Linked DNA regions of Canis lupus familiaris. The protein of the gene in region 1 purifies or fractionates together with the protein of each later gene. This does not show direct contact. Links are inferred from orthologs where the notes say so. Each region holds a gene or a part of one and is shown on either strand. Other genes may lie near its edges.

Region 1 (3,082 bases):
TTACACTGGGTGGCCCTGGGGGCAGGTAGCAGCCTTTCCAGGGCCTGTTTCTCCGCTTGTGAGAGGGAAGTGTGGCCGAGGGCTCGGGGCACCGGCTACATTCATCTGTTTAACCAACTGCAGAATGGAAAGAATTAATAGGATCGACCTCCTGGGCTGTTCTGTAAAGAAAGCAAAGCTCAGCAAGCTTTTGACGAACTCCAGCAGTTACCGTCGTTACCACCGAAGCTACTGGGGACCCCTGGGCTCCTTCTCCCTTCACACCGCAGTGGAAACTGAGGCCCGCGACCCCCCCCCGACGCCCCGCCCCCGTCGCGGCGCCCCGAAGCCCCAACTCTGACACCCCGGCGCTGTGCGACACTGACCCGACAGTCCCCGACGCGGAAGGTTCCGCTTGTAGTCGATGGGGCCATAGCCCCCCGGCGGGGGCATGTCCTGTTTCACCTTCGACGCAGCCATGCTCGCAGGACCCGCACTTCCGGCCGCGGGCGGAAGTTACGTCCGGCGGCCGCCGCCATGATGAGTGTGGCGGACCGTACGGCGCAGGTCTTGGGCGGGGACTAGGGCACCTAGGACCTTAGCGGAGCGATCCCACTGCGAGGGAGGTTGGGCGATGGCTACAGGGATCAACTGAGTGGCCAAGCTGCAGCGGAAGACTCCCTGTTTCTTCTTTTAGACGGGGCTGCCTCAGTCGCTGTAGACGGCTGTAGTCCGTCCAGTCGCCCAGGTCCTTGCCCTAAAGGACCTCCCTTACACCTTCCCTCTGGTGCGATGCTCAGGCCATTTACCCCAAGCTCTGAGGGAGCCACGTCACCGAGTGTTAAGCCCCCTTTCTCGTTTTCTCCCCTTCGCGGGGCTGTGCGGGCGTCCCAAGGCTCCACACGGCCAGGGCTGGGTACACGAAGCTGAGGGGACGACTGCTGCTCAGATTTGACTCATGAGGAGCTGCCCCAATGCCAGGCACCGATGCTGCTCCCGAGTGGTGGTCGGGACCCCTTGCTAGTAGCCTCTCATGGGAACTGGACCATTTAGAGTGATTATGAGTCACAAAGCCTGATGGCCTTGAGTGGCCCTGTGGGGCGGGGTCCAGGGGGCCCTTACCCGAGGCGGGGTGACGCCCGCAGTCACTTCACAAGGCAGAAATTGTTACCTGGGTAATAAAAGGCCCCGCCGCGGCAGGGACCCGGGAGTGGGCACATGGGGGTGCGGGTGTGCAGGTGCCAAGCGCCATGGGTTAGGCCCGAGATTGGAGTCCGGCCGCCCCCCGACAGCAGCCGCCTCCTGCTCCCCGCGCGCCCCAGGCGCCACCATGTCGGGCGACAAACTTCTGAGCGAACTCGGCTATAAGCTGGGACGCACGATAGGCGAGGGCAGTTACTCCAAGGTGAAGGTGGCCACGTCCAAGAAGTACAAGGGCACGGTGGCCATCAAGGTGGTGGACCGGCGGCGCGCGCCACCCGACTTCGTCAACAAGTTTCTGCCGCGTGAGCTGTCCATCCTTCGGGGCGTGCGGCACCCGCACATCGTGCACGTCTTCGAGTTCATCGAAGTGTGCAACGGGAAGCTGTATATCGTGATGGAGGCGGCCGCCACCGACCTGCTGCAGGCAGTGCAGCGCAACGGGCGCATCCCCGGGAGTCAGGCGCGCGACCTCTTCGCGCAAATCGCTGGGGCTGTGCGCTACCTGCATGACCACCACCTCGTGCACCGTGACCTCAAGTGCGAAAACGTGTTGCTGAGCCCCGACGAGCGCCGCGTCAAGCTCACTGACTTTGGCTTTGGTCGCCAGGCACACGGTTATCCTGACCTGAGCACCACCTACTGCGGCTCCGCCGCCTACGCGTCGCCTGAGGTTCTCTTGGGTATCCCATACGACCCCAAGAAGTACGACGTGTGGAGCCTGGGCGTCGTGCTCTACGTCATGGTCACCGGGTGCATGCCCTTCGATGACTCGGATATCGCTGGTCTGCCCAGGCGCCAGAAGCGCGGCGTCCTCTACCCCGATGGCCTCGAGGTGTCCGAGCGCTGCAGGGCCCTGATCGCAGAACTGCTGCAGTTCAGCCCCTCTGCCAGGCCCTCAGCGGGCCAGGTAGCGCGCAACGGCTGGCTGCGTGCGGGGGACTCCGGCTAGAAGCCGGGGTTCCCACCATTCCCGCCGTCCCGAGCACTGCGCAAGCGCAGCGCACGCGCGTGAAGCGCGCTTCCGTACCCCCGCGAAGCCGACACGCGCCACTGCGCACGCGCATTTCCCCCTTTTTCCTGTCTGGACGGCTGGGGCCGTAGTCGCCCCTGTTTGGAATCTAACCCCTCTCCCCACGATCCCGAGAGCAGGAGGGCGCAAGCGCTTCCTCTGTTCCCCAAGAGAAGGCCTCGGGAGGGGAAGGGACGAGAAGAAACGGAAGCATTGCGCCAGCGTGGAATGAGCGACGGCTGCTGGCAGGCGGTGGCTACCTGGAGGAGCTGCCCGCGAGTGGACGCGGGTGGAGGGCGCCCTTCTCTAGGCAGCCGCGCATGCCGGTGGGCGAAGGCGCGCTCCCGGCACTGCCTCCTTGCAACTTGCAATAAACTCGCTCTTCCTCGAACCTGCCTCTAGCAGTGGCCCTTTTACCGAGCAGGGGTGGGAGGTCGTCCCCCGGGGAGGCAGGCGCGGCGCCCCGTTGTGGAGGAAAGCTTGTTAAGGTTCTTGGTCTAGGTCTCGAAAGGGAACTGGGTGGATTCAAAGCGGACTTTTGGGCTCTCCAGCCTCAGCCGACTTAAAGGGATTTTGGGGTCGGCCTAGGGTTGCGATGACCCTGGCAATGGAGATGCGGGGCTGGGGAGCAAGGCATTCTCCCTGTGTTTAAGGATGGAACAGCGTGGGGGCGGAGGGAGGGGCACCTGTCTTAACAGAAACCGGGCGTTTACAGGATGAGGAAATTGAGGCCCACACAAACACTTAACCAAGAACACATTTGGAATTTGACACTGGATATGGCTGGAGTGGGGGTGGGAGGTGATGGAAAGCTCTCCTTAGTAAGGGCCTTTCCTCAGTAAAGAAGTTGCCTTGAAGGGGAGAGGATCAAGGGTGGGGGCCTAAGCCTGC
Region 2 (3,500 bases), on another chromosome or scaffold:
GGGATGGGTAAAATAGGTGAGGGGGATTAAAGAATGTACTTGTCATGATGAAAAAATGAATATATAAAATAATAAAAGTAAATCATTTTTGAAATAAGTTGTACACAGATTTTCGACTGCCTGGGGAGTCCCAACCCCAACCTGTGTTGTTCAGGGATCAAGCACATTTGTATACTGTCTATAGCTGCTTTTGCACTACTGTTGACCCAGTTGCAACAGACATTGTTTGGCCTGCAAAGCCTAAAATATTTATTATCTGCCCCTTTACAGAAAAAGTTTGGCAACTCTTGGTTTAGGTAACTTAAGATTTGCTGTGTTTACAGCTGGCACTTGCCAGAATGCAGTCTCTACTACGGAGTGCTGATCCTCAGGAGATGAGGGAAAAGTAACTTCCCCTTCAAGTAAATTAGTGATAGAGTTTAAAACTACTCACCGGGCAGCCTGGGGGGCTCAGCGGTTTAGCGCCACCTTCAGCCCAGGGCGTGATCCTGGAGACCCCGGAGCAAGTCCCACATCGGGCTCCCTGCATGGAGCCTGCTTCTCCCTCTGCCTGTGTCTCTGCCGCTCTCTCTCTTTCTCTCTCTCTATGTGTGTCTCTCATGAATAAATAAATAAAATCTTAAAAAAAAAAAAACTACTCACCAACCTTTTGAAAGTCTGATAAATACTTGTACCAAAGAATGTAACCCAAAGCCTTGATGCCCTCCTGCTGGAAGAACTGTCCCCTCTGAAAAAGATGAGATGGTACATGCTGGAGAACAGCATTCTATAATTCACTGTCCCAAACCAGCTCAGAAAGCACTGGCGCTGCAAGGAGAATGGAGAAAGGGGCCAGGATGGCTATCTCTCAAGAGCAAAAAGAAATGATCAAATACCATGGTCAGTAGGAGAGGTTGTTTCACTTTGATGATTTGTTTTTTTTTAGGGAGGCCTGAGCTAACATTTCTCTTGTACCCCTGACCCAGAGCCTGTACAACAAATTCTCACTAGCTTTTTTTTTTCTACCAGGGAGGCAAGTACATGCAGGCAGTGATTCAATATGGGAAGATCGTATCGTGGTTAGAGATGGAATATGGCTTATCGGAAAAGGAGTCAAAAGCTTCTGAGTCATTTCTGCTTGCCGCCTTCCTGAACCTGGCCATGTGCTACCTGAAGCTTAGAGAATACACCAAAGCTATTGAGTGCTGTGACAAGGTAGAGTGTCTGTGTGTGGACTGGACTTGAGATGTTCCAGATCTTTTTCTCCATCTTCATATTTGGTCATCTTTTGCTCCTTTGTAGCCAAGGGGTGGAGGGTTTTTCATTTTGTTTTGTTATGTTCATTTGTTTGCTTGGAGTTGTTTCTTTTTTTTTTTAAGATTTTATTTATTTATTCATGAGAGACACACAGCTACAGAGAGAGGCGGAGACACAGGCAGAGGGAGAAGCAGGCTCCACACAGGGAGCCCGACACGGGACTCGATCCCGGGTCTCCAGGATCAGGCTCTGAGCTGAAGGCAGCGCCAAACCGCTGAGCCACCCGGGCTGCCCTTGGAATTGTTTCTCATTATGAATTGGGAAATTCAGAAAGATTGAGATTACAGTCAAACTTTTTTTTTTAAGATTTTTTTTTCCTTTAGAGAGAGAGTGTGTGTGCATGCATACGAGGATGGAGGCAGAGGGAAAGAGAATCCCAAGCAGATACCCCACCAAGTAAGGATCCTGATGCAGGGCTTGATCCCACAACCCTGAGATCCTGACCTGAGCTGAGATCAAGAATCAGACACTTAACCAACTGAACCACCCAGGTGCCCCACAGTCAGGCTTTCCTGATGCATAGACTATAGTAATACACTATGAATAATTTTTAATAAAATTGGGGCACTGGGTGGCTCAGTCAGTTAAGCATCCAACTCGTGATCTCAACTCAGATCTTGATCTCAGGGTTGTGAGTTCAAGCCCCGTGTCAGGCTCCATGCTGGGCATGAAGCATACTTTAAAAAAAATTTTTTTTTGTTATTAAAATTATTTTCATCCATGACTTTACTTAAATCTATGGCCTTTGGTATCAAATTGAACATCAACTCCTCAGGTTCAATGTAATAACAGATTTAACCTAAGCCTTTCAGGGCTTAAGCATGATAGACTTGCAACTACTTACATAGAAGATATATACATACATTTTTTTTTATACATTTTATACATTTTTTTTTAGCAGAGTAACATGCTTTTATTTTACAACAACACATATAAGGAAAAACAAATATGCCAATGGCACATTTCCAGTTTGACAGGCCACTTCTGTATACTTCTGGGATTGTTTCTGCAGACCATATTTCTAGGAGTGAAAATATGGAGTCAAAAAATAGGATTACTGAATATTATCCATAGTTTTTTTTTTATTTATTTATTCCTGAGAGACAGAGGCAGAGACATAGGCAGAGGAAGAAGCAGGCTCCTTGTAGGGGAGCCTGATGTGGAACTTGATCCTGGAACTCTGGGATCATGCCCTGAGCCAAAGGCAGACGCTCAACCTCTGAGCCAACCAGACATCCCTTATCTTGGTTCTTTTTTTTTTTTTTTTTTTTCCAATATTGCCGGCAACAAAAAACTCTTATTTTCATTTTTATTTCTTGGTTACTGATGAAATCATACAGTTTTTCATAACCAGCCATTTTGCATTTCTTCTGTGAATTGCCTGCTCACATCCTTCAACTAGATTGATTTATATTGAGGCAGTCTGTACATTTACTTCATTGAATCTGTCTTTTCCTTTCTAATTAGAAAGGTCTCCCCCACTCTAAGATAATAGAAATAATTCTGTTTAGTACTTTCAAAAACTACTCCAACTAGGTGTACTTTTTTAAAAAACTAATTAAAAATAACCCTATTGTATTTTGATGGGACAGATTGCATGCATGTAAGTATGCTTGGTCTAGAATTTTTTGTGTTTTGATATGAGGTAAAAATTTCTCTTATTTTCCATGTTCATTTATTACAGTGTAGGCCCCATTTATTATGAAGTTAATCCTTTTCCTACTGATTGACATTCCCACTTTTGTCCCTGTTAAATCTTATTATATATACACACAAACCTGTTTCTGAATGCTTTGTTCTGTTCCATAACCTCTTTGCCCAGAGACAAGCAGTCCATCTTTTAATTTCAGTTTTTTTCATAGTGTGGTTTAATTTCAGTGTGTTTAATTTTAGTGGTTCCATAGTAAGTTTTTTTTCTGTGGTCGGTCAAGCCTCCTCTCATTATTTTTGTTTTTCCAAAATTTTCTCAGCCATTCTTGGACATTTGCTTTTTCCATTGAATTTTAAAATGAACTTCTCAATAGGCTCCTCCCCAGTCCCCTTGGAATCTTAATGGAAATTGCATTAAATACAGAAGTTAATTTGGATATAGTTGGTTCTACTTTGATTAGTATTTAATTACCTTGAATCTTGTCACTTCAGTAAACTTTTTCCAGTCCCCTTGGCCAGAAAAGTTTGGGAAGTTATTTAAATACTGAATTTCT

Evidence for each region. Proteins that work in one complex are often made in the same cells at the same time.
Region 2: the proteins of TSSK6 (region 1) and FKBP5 purify together in Homo sapiens (affinity purification with mass spectrometry; 4 studies listed by BioGRID and IntAct, with this or other methods). This does not show direct contact. The link is inferred for Canis lupus familiaris from reciprocal best matches to the Homo sapiens genes TSSK6 and FKBP5.

Annotation. Positions count from the first base shown.
Region 1 is NC_049241.1:44,140,202-44,143,283, forward strand, and holds TSSK6 (testis-specific serine/threonine-protein kinase 6), read left to right. Parts: upstream 1-1,160; 5' UTR 1,161-1,309; coding exon 1,310-2,131; 3' UTR 2,132-2,582; downstream 2,583-3,082. Other genes in the region: NDUFA13 (NADH dehydrogenase [ubiquinone] 1 alpha subcomplex subunit 13), read right to left, coding at 366-459. UniProt on the Homo sapiens protein: Serine/threonine-protein kinase component of the sperm flagellar doublet microtubules. May act as a regulator of sperm motility by mediating phosphorylation of sperm doublet microtubule proteins.
Region 2 is NC_049233.1:4,906,467-4,909,966, reverse strand, and holds part of FKBP5 (peptidyl-prolyl cis-trans isomerase FKBP5), read left to right. Parts: intron 1-1,008; coding exon 1,009-1,194; intron 1,195-3,500. UniProt on the Homo sapiens protein: Immunophilin protein with PPIase and co-chaperone activities. Component of unligated steroid receptors heterocomplexes through interaction with heat-shock protein 90 (HSP90).